Oreochromis niloticus: one gene and its partner. The protein of the gene in region 1 purifies or fractionates together with the protein of each later gene. This does not show direct contact. Links are inferred from orthologs where the notes say so. Each region holds a gene or a part of one and is shown in the gene's direction. Other genes may lie near its edges.

Region 1 (7,907 bases):
GGAGCAGGTGGAGTCACTGTCAGAGGTTAGACTCGACTTCATGAACATCAACGTGACCAGCAGAGCGAGACAAATCAGACCAAGAACCACATCACCGATCCTGGCCTCAGGGATCTTGTGGAAGGTGTAGTAAACCTCCAGGAAAAACTGCTGAGGGACACCCTGGATTCCCAGAATATTCTAGAAAAAAAGAAAGAGTGGGTAAAACCACTGACTTTATGAATGGAAAAGGAGCGGGCAAGAGCAGTTCTCTCTTTGGAGTTTACACACTCAGTCAAGTTTAGGTTATACTCAAAATACAATTTTGAGTATAACCTAAACATTTATTGTTAATCAGTTCACCAACAAGCAATGAATGATGCAAATCCACCAGTAAAAGCTCAACACAGATTATAGTGCTCATTGGCCACATCTTTGACCTGTCTGCATGAGGTCAATGGGAGATTGATAGGGTGTCTTAGTGTTTGTGTGATTTTGTGGGAAACCACAACACAACTTTTTTCCTTATTTTGAAGGCAACTATCAATTTTATTGTATTTTATGTATGCTTGTGCAAGCAAGTGCAGCTTTCACATAAACAGACATTTATGAGAGGTATGAGTTTGTGAGCCCTGAAAGATTTCAACTTGCATTAATAAAAAAACACTGATGCAGAATATAGAGTTTTAACAAGGACTTTTCAAATATTTATTAAAGCCATGTGCTTAGTTTGTAGAGAGCAGACTGCTGTGTTTAAGTGTTTATTAAGAGACTAAACCGCAGAGAAGTACAAGAACCTGACTGAAGCAGAGCGGGAATGTACATCAGAGCCTGTGCTAGTAAAAAACACACCAATAAGGAGTTTTGCAGGCAGAAGGAGAACATGCAAACTGCACACAGAAAGGACCCAGCAGGTGGATTCAAACACTCAACCTTCTAGCTTAGAGGCACAGTACTAACCACTGGTCCACCCAATGCTCAAATCATTATTGTGGTGCTTTCTGGTGACTTTTCTATTTTCTTAGATGCCAATAAGCTAGTTGTGATCATTCTAGAGATTATTTTTTTTAATTCTGTGTGCTTCCAATGTATTTTTCTGCACTGCTTCTGAGTCTTTTACCCAGTGTTTTGTGTTTTGTGGTCTTTTCGAATTCTGTTTATTTTTCATTATCTTTAGTTTGCTGGTTTTGGTTTAGACTTTCACCCTTGTGTACTCCTTAGCATTTCAGTCTTGAGCATTTAGTTCAAATTACTGTTTCCTACCTTTTCCTTCTATGCCAGTTCCCCTACGTTTAGGCTAGTTCTGTCTGCAGTTCCCTTTTAGTTATTGTGCCTCTCTTCCTGTTTTATTTTGATACCATTTTGTCTCCTTTACATTGTGTTTAGTCTTACTTTCTCCCCTGCCTCATTGTGTCAATTATTTACACCTGTGTTTATTTGGCCCAGCTGTTCTACATTCCCCTAATCTGCCTTGGTGCAGTTATACCCTCAGTTTGGCCCTTGCTCTTTGTTATGTCATCTGTTATGCCTTCCTGTTTTCTCTGGTCTCATCTCCATCCTGGCTTCTGTTTATTTCTATAATATTTTCCTTTCTGCTCTGTTTTAATAAAGACTCACTTTTTAGCTTTTCATTCTTTTAAAGACTTTTTCCCTACTGAGGCATACAGTTTGATATGTTGTATATGCTGAGATAACTATGTATGTGTGTTAGTTTTTGCTGTGTGTGCATGTTTTCACTCTTACTTTGACTTGGCCAAATCCAATAGTTACTGCAGCAGCACATGTGAAGCCTTTTATTACAGGAAAAGAGATGAAGTCCAGAAGGAAACCTGCAGAAGAGAAGCAAAGTAGTGGATGATTTATAGGACCAAGACATTATATAACCTTCCAGATTTCAAATATTACAGTAACTCTTTAAGAAAAAAAATATAAATTCTTATTCGATAAGGAGCTTATTTTCATGTTCGTAGGCTGCCCATTCATTGCCGTTTTACCGTAAAATGACACAAGACTAGTAAGTCATTCAAAAATAAGCACAGCACAATTAAGTTTGGATCGGGTCCTGGCCAAGGAGAACATGAACCTTGTCTCATGTTCTCCTTGTGCCTGTGGAGTTTGCTCCAGGTACTATAGCTTCCTCCCACAGTCCAAAGACATGCTTGGTCGGGTAATGGCAAACCTAACCTAGGCTACGTTCACACTGCAGGCGAAAGCGCATCAAATCCGATTTTTTCGCCCCTATGCGACCCGTATCCGATCTTGGTATGACAGTGTGAACAGCACAAATCTGATATTTTCAAATCCGATCTGGGTCACTTTCATATGTGGTACTGAATCCGATACATATCCGATGTTTTAGAAAGCGACTGCTGTGTGAACGGTCAAGTCGCATTAAATCCGTCTTTTACGTCACTGACACAAGACAGACGCCAATTATCAACTCCATAGAGAAGCGCCCGATAGGACATCGCGAACGATTTCCTACCATCCGGTGAAACTGTTGGGAAGACAATGTTGGAGAAATGTGAACATTTTATTTTTACTGTATTTTCTGCAGATTCTGACAGAAATCTGCAACTATCCTTTGAAGCACTGCTCCTCTAAAACAGCAAAAAGGATCATTATTAGGTTATCTACATTATTATGTAAATAACAAAATAACTTAAAGCAAAAATCTGGAAACATAAAGTCGGAAGTCTTTATATTAAGGGCCATCAGTCAAACAATATTGTTTGCTCTGGGTCTAAACAGAGCGAGTTGTGTGTGACATCTTTTGCGCATGCGGGCCGCTTTGAGCGTTCACACTAGAGAGCGTTTGATGTCGCATTTTATGTGTAGTGTGAACAAGCAGACAAAAAAATCGGATTTGATCAAAAAATCGGAATTGAGCATTAAGACCTGCAGTGTGAACGTAGCCCTAGATGTGAATGTGACCATGAATGGCTAACTATCTCTGTGTGTCAGCCCTGTCCAGGGTGTATCCTGCGTCATGTCATATGAAAGCGGTGAGGGGGCTCCAGCTCCCTGAACTGGATATGTGGTTAATAAAATGGATGAACAGATGACTATTTAGGATCCACAGATTTTATAGTAGACTGTCTGCCTCTAAAATTTAAGTTCCTACATGATAGTTGCTCGATTTTTGTGATGTTGTTTTTACTTTTGGACTTCACCTTAAATTTTACACACTGGAGAATGTGATAAACTACCAGTGCTCTCAGACTCACACAAAAATGTGTGTTATTGTGAAAAAATATTTTGTTTTGCTTTCAGTGGTTCACAAGTTTTTGAATAAATTCAGGAAAAGCCAAAACTGAAATCGCAAGCTTTCCACATGACCTCGGGAGCACTCATTTCACCTAATCTCAGTAACGCCATCACAGCTTGGATGAGTCCACAGAGGAGGCTGAGCAGCACGGCTCGGTGAGGCTCCCCTCCCACCACAGAGGAGCATAAGAGGGACATGATGGCCGTGGGGCCCAGGGTCACATCCTTGGAGGTTCCCAGAAAGGTGTAGATGAACCCCCCCATGAAGGCCGAATAGAGTCCGAACTGTGGACAGAAAAGAAAATAAAGTCTGAACTAATTATGCAGCTAATTATTTTTTTCATCTTAAAGCTCATGTCTCAGGAAAAGAGGAAAGCCAAATTAGTTATCGAGAAGGAGGTGAACCCTAAAGGAAAGCCTAAGACTCGCCTGCACAGGAAGGCCGGCCACTTCAGCATAAGCCAGCGCTTGTGGTACAGTCGTCAATCCAACAGTGAGACCCGCGAGGACGTCCATCTTTAGCCACTTCAGGTTGTACTTTGGCAGCCATGAGAGGATGGGCAACCAGGCCTTCAAGGTGTTGTAGGAACAGCAGCGCCGGGCTGACTGTCTTCTCATGAGACGCCGCTCCATCACACTTAGAGGTTGAGACCGGCGGGAGAGGAATTCAGCAAAGAGACATCTGTAGCAGAAAAAAATAAAAATGAACAAAACAAAAGCCACTCACACAAAGCGTGAGTTCTCCCCTCAGCTTTGCTGGGTGCTGCTCAGGTTCCTGTTTTTTCCTTTTATTTCCTACCTCCTGCTGAGATATGCAGCATTCAGGAAAACGCCACAAAGATGCTGCTCATGCAAGCAGGTGTCGACCTGTTTGTTTGCATTTCTTCAAGCCGAGGACATATCTTCAGGTGCATGCTGTGATCTGCATGCCACAAAAAAAAAAAAAAACATTCACAAGCTCACTGTGTGTCATTTACAATCATATGACGATCATATGACAGCTGGGTGCTTTGCATATCTGTATCTGAACAGTCAGGACATGTTTTTTTTCATGAAGTCACCTTTACCTTCAAACTATAAACTTCCTCATCAGGAAAGTCCAACAGGCCCACAGTCTTACGTGACCTCAGACTGATACTTTATCTCCCACTGTGTCTGATTATGAGTCTATGTTACCCAGACTATAACAACCTTGTAATTATCAAAAAATAATGATAACAAACTAAAAACAGTGATGTGTTTGAGTGCAAGAGAGAAGAATGCACAAAAGAGACTGAATTCGTATACTACAGAATGGAAACAAAACAGAATAAAATACAAATTTGACCATATAATATAAAATAACTCCACAGTGTTTAACCGAACTGAACCAAAATAGACTAAAATAGACCAGAACAGACCAAAATAAAGTAGAAAAGACTAAATAAAATAGAATAAAACATAAATTCTTACACAGCGTGATGCTTTCTCTTGGCTGGGCTGTGATTTTTCACGTCTTTCTCTACTGTTCCTTCTGCTAAACCCACTTCCCCAAAAACATTTCGCTGACTAGGCGCGAGACAAGTCGTTTCCTGTTGTTTCTTTTTCTCCTCACGTGACTTGTGTCATGTGACTCCAAGTGGGCGGGGTTTGAGTTGTTTGAGGAAGCATGTTTCACGGCGTTCCAACGGTGCCTTTAAGTGCTAACTTTAGCGAGTTTTATTTTCATATTTAAAGTTTATTTTTCTGTGGAGAAATAGAGGAAGAGGTCAACATGCTCCCTCGGGTTGTCTGTCTTATTTTTTTAGCATCATGTTGCATCGGAGAGTCCAAAACAAGAAATGTGCTTCTAATAATTGGTGAGTTCACGTTTTTGTGCTCCTGGAGAAACTATAAATCCTTTCTGTTATATGGCTGGAAATTTAAAATGCTGAAATATACCCTCCTGTTGCCATTACAATTCTGTGCAAAAATCTCGAGCCACCCTTTAATTCGTTATATAACTGAGGTTCAATAGTTCCCGAAGATTTTCATTGGACATTGGCTGCTTGTTCACTCATTTTCAATCCACTCAAAAGTGGCAGGCTTAAAAAAAAAAAACTATCTTCAGCATTAATGATTAATGAAAGCGAAATGGGGAAAAGGCTAAGGTACACCAAATTACACAAGAATTGAACTGAAAATCAGCAGTAACAGTATTTTCTCCATATTGAATCCACATATGAATCCAAATTTGAGATTGTTGGTTCAAATCATTGTTAGTATGTAAAGAGAAGATCAGGAGAGAGGTACAACAGCGAGTGTCTACAGCTATCTGTATCAGGGCAGGCTCTGTCATGGTTTGGGGCTGCAGCTGGGGATCATAAAAACTGATGGACACAGAGATGGATGCAGAAAGCATCTTACTAAAAACAGCTTTAATATTTCAGGATGATCAAATGATCCCAAATGCACTGACAATGCAGTGAAAGCATGCCTGGATAGAAAAACACATACTGGAGTACCATCAGTCATGGATTGGCCTCCCCAGAGACTTTATCATTATAGTGATAGGGAACAGTGCAAAAGAACAGCTTTGAATGTCCTTCAAGAAGCCTGGAGAACGATTCCTGAAGACTGCTCAAAAAGAATTACAAGAAAGCTTGCCCAAGACAGTTCAGGCTGTGTTGAAGAAAAAGGATAGTCATACCAAATATTGACTTTTTGGATTGTATAAACTCTGTATAAAGAAATAAGTAGAGGCACAAGATTTGCACAGTACTGAAAGTGCATGATAGAGGTTATAACTGTTTTAGGCAGTTGCTTTTATTTTGTTTATTAGTAGAACCTCTCTCCATAACATAAAATAATTAAGTTGACCAAATCCAAACAAACTAAATATGAGGCAGAAGTCGGTTTGTGTGTTACAATCTTGAGCCGGATGTTTTTCTGAATGTTTTAACCTTCATGCAAGTAGATTTTTATTATCGTACAAATATTCTATAAAGGAATATGTTTAAAGTAAAACTAATCTAAAATGATCTGTCAGAAAATGCCAGAGAATTGGAAAAAAAATTAAAACTATACTCCGGGAAAAAGAAAAATGTCAGTGTCTCTTTACATGAAGCCTGATCCATCAAGAAACACTTTTCCTACTTAAATCCTCTGCACTAAACCCCAACCTTAAACCCATCCTGTACTTCTGAGAAGAACTGGAATTGTGACTTAAAGCCAGGTTTCATTACCCTACTGACTTTGCAAAGCAGTATGTAGATGCCAAAGATTTTAGAGATGATTAAAAGTCAGTTATGGGCATTTTGTTTGAGCTCCCGCATCAGTTTCTGTCTTTTCCTCCTCCTCACAGCTGATGATGCAGGTTTCGAGACAGAGGTTTATAACAACTCTGTGGTCCACACGCCTCACCTGCGCTCTCTGGCTCAGCGCAGCGTGGTGTTCAAGAACGCCTTCACATCTGTCAGCAGCTGCTCACCCAGCCGCTCCGCCATCCTCACCGGCCTGCCACAGGTGAGACACACACACCTGTGAATGCCTCTCATTAAAGCGATGTGAATTATTGAGGTGTGTTTCTCTTGTGGTTTCCAGCATCAGAATGGCATTTATGGACTTCATCAAGGAGTCCATCACTTTAATTCTTTTGATGAAGTACAAAGTCTGCCGCTGCTTCTCAAACAAACCAACGTACACACAGGTAGATAACAAAATGACCCGTTTTTCTCATGTCTATAAATAAATCTTTCTTATTTTTTACTTTTTAAACTCACTGATTCTTTCTTCACAGGTATAATTGGAAAGAAGCATGTTGGCCCTGGATCTGTTTACCCCTTTGACTTTGCCTACACAGAGGAAAACAGCTCTGTCCTCCAGGTGGGGAGGAACATCACTCGCATTAAACTCCTGGTCCGCAAGTTTTTCCAGACTCACAAAGAGGAAGCCTTTCAACGAAAGAACGGGGAAAAAGCAGAAGAAAGTAACCGGGAGAATATAAAGAGTGAAGAGAGGCCATTTTTCCTTTATGTTGCCTTCCATGATACTCATCGATGTGGACACTCGCAGCCCCAATACGGAGCTTTCTGTGAGAAGTTTGGGAATGGTGAAAAGGAGATGGGTAGAATCCCTGACTGGACACCACAGTATTACACACCAGACCAAGTAAAGGTCAGAGAAATCCCAGTTTCTACTTTAATCTATCTGTTTTATGTCATTATTTTACTGTTTTAAAAAGAAAAAGGCTATAAAAATCAAAGCAGGCTAGTCCATTTTGCTGAAATTTCATTGCAGCGGCTGACATTGTTGTATACATGCCTGACAGTGTCGGGGCATGCTCCTACTGAGATGGTAGATGGTATCATGGGGAATTTCCTGATCTCCAGATCTGGACCCGGACATCACTGAGCTCATAGATGGTCTGAGGTGTAACCTGGCAGCATCAGATAGCTTAAAACATAACATACCAGAGTTGTTCTATTGGATTTAGGTCAGGCAAACAAGGGGCCCAGTCGGTGGCATCAGTTACTTCAGGAAGTGCATGCATACTCTCGCCACATGAAGCCAGGCTTTGTCGTGCAACTGGAGAAACCCAGGAACCACTGTGCCATTGAACTGCGTGTGCCGTTGCCTAGCCTGTAGAAGTCTCTGCATCCCTGCATAAATATGCTTCCCCAGACCATCACAGAACCATCACC
Region 2 (8,204 bases), on another chromosome or scaffold:
TAGCTGAAATCAAGCCCAGGAAGAAAACATGTCAAACGCTGCAACTTTGTAAGTTAATAGACTTATCGGTATCACTGCTGCATTGCTAAAGAACAGGTAGATCTGACTATAATTACACGGGTATTCAGTCTAATGAATGTTTTATGATCCCCAAGACAGTGTTTGGCCCTATTCTCACAGCTGCAAATGCATCTGTATTATATACTCGAAATGGGAAAGTTAAGAACTAAAAGACAAATATAATAATTCAAATGGATAAGTACTCATATGTCTTATATGCTCAAAAAGTACAATGCTGAAAGGCTGTAATCACTTTCTTTTTTTACGCTTTTATAGAAATGGCCGATAAAATTACTTTGAATTGCCAAGGAAAACAAAGAACCAAGGACGACTACATTTCTCCCTTAAAAAACTTAAATTAAATTAAAATTAAAATCTGTATATGCGGTTGAAGCTCTACCAACGGTCTAGCTGTATTACATTTTTTTTTATTTCATCCAGCAGCAGCAAGCTAAAGTGCACTTTTCTTATGAATGTGTACCAGTGCCTGTGACTGCACAGGCCTTCAATCATATTCTGTGTACAATGTTTAGCCAGCCCTCCCCAAGGGACATAAACCTCTAGCCTGAGAACTGTAGGTCACGAGTTCTACTTCCTGTATGAGAACTAATAATAGCAAATTCACGCAAAGACACAGCTGAAGGATTTTTATTTAGAAAACAGATTCTCAAGTGGGTGTTTTTTTTCAACAAATCAGCAGCAGAGATGACTCTCTCCATCTGCCTCTACCTCCACAGACCTGTGCGAGCTAGGGCACACAGCTAATAAATGCATACATGGATGCATAACACACACACACACACGGTTAACAATGACAAAGGCAGGCCTGTTTGAAGTCCAGTGGGCTGAGATATTGAGATATTGTGGCTGTCACCAAAGAAACACAGCATAACACATTCAGCAGCAGGTCTTACATGCTTCACAGTATAAACAGATAGCAGTTAGTGCTATGAGGAGGAGTGTCACGAGGAAGAGGGGAGATTAATTTGCTCCTCTTACCTCTGAACTTCTTCGGCGGGTTGTTGAGGTCCCCAGCATCGGGCTGGACGACGCAGCGGTCATCCACCAGGCTGTAAATATGGACACATGACACATGTAAGCGCTATACATATAATAAGATCATATCCCAAGTTACCATGACAAAGCTGACAAAGCCCCAAGCATAACAACCATAGCAGCAATGAGGAATAGTTAAGTTCACGTTTAAAGTTGTTTTTTTAAACAAGACTCCAATAAATATGCAGTCATTTTCTTATTCTTCTATTATAGTGAGCTGAATGTTTATGAAGTTTGGACCATTTTAACAAAAATTAAATTATCTGCAATTAAGCCATTTTGATGTTTGTGATATTTCTAGAGCGCAAAATGAATCAATTGGTACAAAAAATATTTAGACACTGCTTAATTTAAAAAGAAAAAGTGCCAGTTGCAACCTAATTTCAAAAACACTGCATCAGTTGAGTGTGTTTGATTAATAATTTTACAGGACAGCACTGATTGGAAAAATCATTGCAAAAGGCCAGGAGGAACAAAGAGTTCATAATACTGAGACAGTCAAATTGATCAACACCACATTTTCAGAACTACAACTCAGCAAAATTGGTCAACATTTCTGCAGAGGTACTAAGATTGTCATTGTTCTTGGATATCAGAGTCACTGCAATTCATCATTCCTGTGGGTTTGTGTTTAAGCTTTCTGTGTGTGTGAGACTCAGGCAAAAAAGCATTTCCAACAAAAGCCCGTGCATGTGCCTGTGCATGTGCCTGCAAAACTCTACTTTTGTTTCATGAATTATCTGGGAGCTTTACATAGTTGCAGCATGTTTTAGCCTCCCCTTCCACAAAATAAGGAAATATTCTGGATTAAATGACCAGTGGCCAGACAGGAATTTCTGGTGACAAATTTAGCTTTCACTGGCTTAGAATAACACTTGTCTGGACACAGGCCAAATCCCACATCCACTTTCAGCCTTCTGAAGTTGCCCAAACAGATCTCACTGTTCCATCAGCCTGCACATCTCGAGGAACAAGACAGACTACAAAGGGCGAAAATATCTGTGCGTGTTAGGACAAATAACAGCAGAGTGACAAATTAAAGGAAAAACTTTTCACCTCTACAGTGAGGGCATTCGATTGCTCCATTATACTGTGGAAGCTCTAATCTCCCTGACCCCTTAGAAGGAATACTGAATGCAAATCGACACAAAGTTGTTGCTGAAAATAACATGAATCACATGCGCTGACCTTTGCAGTCACCAGATCTAAACCTAATTTACTACCAGAATTAGCCTTTGGATCAACATGTTAGTCAGTTTTCACCACCAGCATTGTCAAAACACAAAATGAGGGAGTATCTTTTGGAAACATGGTGGAGTCTTACTGAATCAGTGCTAAGCTCTGCTGAAGTTAATCTGGCATCAAAACTCCTTACTGCATTTAAGATGGGGGGGTCGTCTTTAATTTGTCACCCACCTGTGGGTAGTATGAGCATGTGTTGCTGCTTTACGCAACTTGACTTTCACATTGGTCAGTTATTAACACAAGTTTAATAGTTACACCTCTGCACAAACAAGACGGGTCCTGCTAAATACTCACTGCACACAGCAGCATTTTCAAAAAAAAAAAAAAAAAAAAAAGGGAAAGAGAAAAATGTAGCCTTTCATTTGCTCATATAACCCCCTCCCCTCTGCAGCTGCCGACTTGGACTGCTATTTGGGTGAAGAAAAAGTGTTAATATGTACAGAATTTTCTGAGTATGGTGTCTTACTTTAAGGGCAGTTGATCTGGAGAATGCTGCTGAGTTGGTGTTTATGCGTGGAGAGGATGGCTTCAGGCCAAAACTGTCATGACAATTTTCTAAATACATGTGCTAGCGTGTGCGTGTGCGTGTGCATGTGCGTGTGTGTTTATGTGGGAAGCACATGAACTCCAGAAAGGCCACAATGTCTCTATAGTGACTCAGTCTTCGCTGTGGGTCATTCCATTTTTCATGAGCCAGGAGGGGAGGTCCAGGACACTGAGCAGATAGCCCTGATACCATTACTAATGCTAAACGCCATGGTTTACCGTCTTGTGATTTCCGGGTGGTTTATACAAGCAAAAACATTAATGCAAACTTTCTCTTGTTGCTTTGTTTACATTCAGAACAAAGGGGAGAGGTTAAAGCAGCACAACTGAATCTTACTGCGCTTGTGATATTTCTGTCATATCCTAAGGCCAGCATTTCAAGCAGTAAGCCAGTATAAGTAATCCCAACAGATAGACCATATCAAAAACACGCATTTTACAAGTAAGGAGAATTGATGGAGGAAAACAATACATTAATGCTGTGACTGTGTGGGCAAATGAGTGGCTTGCCAACAGTACCACCAGACCATTTATTGTCTTCTAACTCTACCCTTACAACCCAGGCCTGCCCCAGACTTTATCATTATCTGCATATTTGTTGCACAAAATTACATTAACTACTTAATCCCATTCTGGGACCAAATGATGACCCTGTCGCTGCGTGTAAGCAAACATGTGCATACACAGGCATCGGACTAAAAGGAAGAAATGTGCTTGTTCTCGACTTTGTCATCAAAATGGTTAACAGTTGCTACTACAAGTGTGATTTCCTCCCTTCCAAAAAAAACTGCTGGCTCAGTATCGTGACTGAGCAGCATTTTTTAAGAAAAGTGTGAAGTGGGCCCTCCACACAGGCACAGGGACATACCCTAGGGTGCTGATGAAACCATTGGTTGATCCCTCTGCATACAGGGAGCAGATGTCCCCAATGTGTAGGAAACTGGACATTTTGTCCGACATGTTTGGCACACAAGGGAGCACCTGTATGGGAGAAAATATGGATATTATTAGATCATTTGATATAACATGCCTGTCATGGACACATACCATCATGCATTTATTCAGTATCCATACGCAAATTAATAGTTCCAAGTTAGAAGCAGGTTTGAGAGAGCGGGTTCCCTAGGTGGAGACTACACTAACACAACTGTCTGGCTGCAAGGATTTGCATAGAGAGGAAGAGAAAATGTTTATTACTGTAGCCCCGCTGGTGTTGTGTTGCGCCTTATATGTTTAGGAGCTGCAGCTGCCAACAAGGTTTATGCACCTGCAACAGGTCATGGCCACTAAAAGCTGATAGAGAGCAATGCAGGTCCCCTCCACTCAGGTTATCTGCCTGTGTGTTTTTCTTTTTTCTTTTTTTAAAGCACTGCCTCTCAGTGAGGTCGATAAAGCCCCATAACAAGTTATTCTGGTGGCTTTCCGACCGCCGTCTGTTACAAGCCCGACCAAACGATCACACAGCAAAAGCTCGGATCTTCTTCATCTAAGCACCGAAGCGCCAGCGAAACTTGAGAAAGCACATCCAGCGTTAGCATTGTAATCGCGGCTCACTATCACATTGCTTCACAGCAGCCCGAAATCATTATCGGCGTAAGATCCATCCGACCGTGATACAATCTTGTTGGGCTTCTCTTTAAAAAAAATTATTATTCACTACAAAGCGCCGCTTTTGAGCTCTGAGTGGTTTTTTAACCATTTAAGGAGAACTAAATCCTTTTTTTCCCTTCTCCGCTGCGAGAAGATAGAGATATGAAAGGAGGAGGATGGCAAACTGCTCAAGTTATGCTCTCAACTTTACCTCGGCTGTGCTCGGATATTTAGCTTTCTCTGGGCCAGCTAAGACAACATGACTGCGGTTCTCCTCTCCACCGGGTCGGGGGGTGAGATCCAGGCGTCAGCGACTGTAATAATCCAGTTTTTTGACAGCTCGGACACCTTTCCGCGCCTCTCGGTGCTCCCGCAGCTTGTGCTCACTGAGGCAGGCAGGCACTGGCTGGTTGAACTGCCTGGCTCACTTCCACTTCTTCTCAAGCGGCCGTAGTGTTGATAGCTGGGAAATGATGTCCACGTCGCCCCATCCTACCGCTAAGAAAATCTGAGCTGTTTTATCACTACTGCTACTGCGCTGCCCAGATTTATACGGCTAAGAAGAAGTCTTTTTTATGTAAAAAACAGAAAGGTCAAAAATCTGTGTGATTTTGGGCGAATAAGTCATTGAAGTGTATTTCAAATAAGCGATTTTATTAATATCATCACAACCGAATGTAGCTATATTTGCGAGCCATGATCAGAATTTGCAGTGTTTTTGTGGATTAACAGAATTTATTCCACAGCAAACATTCACTTCGGGAAGGAAAGGGTTACGTTTTGTTACACTGTAGCCAGCTGACTGACCACGTGACTTTACGGAAGTAACAGTGTCAACAGCATGCACGGACCCTGGGCTGTGCCTTGGAATAAAAAAAATATCAAAATGCTGCGTTATTTCACCCTATTGTTCATATTTGGATGTGTGAGCAAAGTGTTGTGTCTTCAGAGTTCATGTAGCGCAGAGCAGGAACCTCCAGGCGTGGAAAGAGGGGCGGGCTGCGGCTGTGATAAGCTGACTAGAGACGCTCCAGCTGTGGACCCCTTGGACGAGGATGAGGGTAAAGCAGCTTCCACAGACCCTGCTCTCAAATACTCCAAAGACGCAAATGACAGGACGAATCAGGTGCAGGACGATGAGCGGGAAACACAAAGTCCGGTATGTTGCGACTCCTGTTACAGAAAAACACCGCTATTTTGTGAGAGTGTGGAGATAAGGTTATGCGTGCAAAATGTCATAAAGTAGTTACCAAAGTCGAATCTAATCGTTCTTGGAACTATTAGGCCTCCTGAGGTTCCCATGCATAAGCAAGGCCTTGTAGCCAATCAGCTGCAACACAGATCTGTCGATTAACACCAAAACCAATGGTTGCAAAATTGTGTCCACATATGTGCTAATTTTAGTTGTGTGTTTAAATAAACCATAACACCATGTGCTGTAAATATGACTTGAATGCAGAAGCAGGAAGTGTGACAGCCTAGCCTTTGTTTCCTGTAAGTTACCCTCTTAAGGCTGCACGTTTGTGGCACTCTGGTGTCATATTTTTTATTTCTACTGTTATTTCTATTATTTGTAGGTGGCTAATACCTTAGATTATTACTAGATATATTATAGATCTTCATTGTTTTATTGTGTTCTTTATTGGTTGTTATGATCTTGTAAGAGTTATTAATCCTGAATCTACATTCCAGTTTATAGCACAGTTTGTTTGCATATGTAAATAAAAAATGTACTTGTTCTGTGCAGATGGTGCAGATTTCTGGAGGGGAGTTCCTGATGGGAACAGACAACCCAGGCATCCCCCCAGACGGCGAGGGCCCCCAGAGACTCGTGTATGTGGACTCCTTCAACATGGACATCCATGAAGTCACTAACCAACAGTTTCAGAGCTTCGTCCTTGCGACAGGATATGTGACTGAGGTGTTAAAAAATATTTAAAAATTAAACCATATTTTTCTGTGAGTGGTTTTCACTATCCTGGTGTTGTTTTTTGCCCATAAAATCTGTCTTTTCTGATTTTTAGGCAGAGAAATTTGGAGACTCGTTTGTTTTTGAGGGACTTTTGAGCGAGCCAGTGAAAAGCCAAATCACTCAAGCAGTAAGTGTACCACTGAGCAGGCGACTTACCTGTGCAGCTCACTTTTTACATGCTACATCAGTTGTAGCTTTGAAGGAAGACATGTGCAGGCTACATGTCATACTTTCGATTTCACTGCACAAAACGAGCACACAGTGAAAGACGCGCTCTACATTAGTTTGCACTTATGCAACAATCTAACAAACTATTTATTGCTTACACTTAGATATCGGTAGCTTGCAGGACTAGAGGTCCAAGTTCACACACTGTGTTTAGTAGACAACATTAAATATTAAGTGTTGTAATAAATGTAACCTCACAGACTTTTATGCTGTGTTTAGATGTCTGTAAATGTTTATGTGTAAAAAGCTTTTTTGTTCATGTAAGTACATGTAGCTAAAGTTCCCAAAGGGAGTTTTTCTCTCCCACAAACAACACTGATGCTGAGCTAGGTCAAAAGTCTCATTTGAACCCCATGCTTTTCTCCTTTGAGTTCTCTATGTCACATTTTCATGATGCCTACCTTGTGGCTATTTTATATGCCCTCAAACCAAAGTATGAGCAGTCCACCCTTTTTTGAGCCACTTCTCTCACTCTAAAATGTCCCAGTCACAAGAAAAGCACGCCAAATTTTCTGTTGTTGGCAGCAAAAGAGTAAACACAGGAGTCTTTATGCATGCTCTGAATCTGAGGACACAGTGGATCGGCTTTATTTTTGATGTCAGGGTCCCCACAACGGATGGAAAATCCTAATGTTAGCTTGCTGCATGACAAAATGTGGCTAATTTGTTTATCAAACGCCCAGAGGCTTGATAATCCAGTTCTTCGGCATGTGACAGTTTCACCTACAGTCTTGTGCTTTGCAAAAATCAAAATATCATGCCAAATAGGAAGAAGCCTTAAAGCACCTCCTTCATGGAAAGTCACCTTAAACAGTTTTTACCTGTCAGCTGTAAAAGGTTGATGGGGTACTGTCGTCACCCCGCCAGGTGGGCAGGCAGGTGGCGTGAATACACAAGTCTGTAAATGCAGAGAAACAAGCAATGTAGGAATTTTAAGTTGATATTTTAGGTGTATTTACTAGGAGGCTGAGGGGTAGCACTGGCAGCTTCCAGTATTTTTTTATTTTTCTGCACACAGGACCGAAGACTTTTACCACACTTCAGCAGCAACATGAGTCTATGAACTTTAGAGCATGCTAAAGATAGTTTTTGTGGCTTTGGACAGAACATTTCCAAGAGACTGGTGTTTGGTGCTTCCTGATGTTTCTAGTTTTCACTGTGTGTTCATTAAATACCTACAGCTTGACAGGTTTACCTATAGAAGTCTTCTGTATGACCCTCAAACCTAGAGGATTCCACACATTTACCCATATGGCACAATAACAATAACTTCACTAATTACTGCTGCTTATAATAGCTTTTTATTGTCACTGTTACAAGAACAGTGAAAGGCAGTTTGGCATCTCTCCATGTGTGTGGAGTACACAATAGCGTAAGTAATTACACAATAATAGACAAATTTACATTTACACAAGAAAGATATGTACAAGTTATACATACACCTGCAAACATACACGCACATACATACATATATGTATATATACATATTTGCATCTGTACATGCATA

The links.
Region 2: the proteins of sgsh (region 1) and sumf1 purify together in Homo sapiens (co-immunoprecipitation; 3 studies listed by BioGRID and IntAct, with this or other methods). This does not show direct contact. The link is inferred for Oreochromis niloticus from reciprocal best matches to the Homo sapiens genes SGSH and SUMF1.

The regions. Positions count from the first base shown.
Region 1 is NC_031971.2:32,474,831-32,482,737, forward strand, and holds the start of sgsh (N-sulfoglucosamine sulfohydrolase), read left to right. Parts: upstream 1-4,859; 5' UTR 4,860-4,999; coding exon 5,000-5,084; intron 5,085-6,568; coding exon 6,569-6,729; intron 6,730-6,807; coding exon 6,808-6,913; intron 6,914-7,003; coding exon 7,004-7,380; intron 7,381-7,907. Other genes in the region: slc26a11 (sodium-independent sulfate anion transporter), read right to left, coding at 1-180, 1,723-1,808, 3,339-3,531, 3,676-3,879. UniProt on the Homo sapiens protein: Catalyzes a step in lysosomal heparan sulfate degradation.
Region 2 is NC_031970.2:23,904,343-23,912,546, forward strand, and holds the start of sumf1 (formylglycine-generating enzyme), read left to right. Parts: upstream 1-5,197; 5' UTR 5,198-5,338; coding exon 5,339-5,656; intron 5,657-6,244; coding exon 6,245-6,418; intron 6,419-6,521; coding exon 6,522-6,596; intron 6,597-8,204. Other genes in the region: inositol 1,4,5-trisphosphate receptor type 1, read right to left, coding at 1,060-1,130, 3,776-3,867.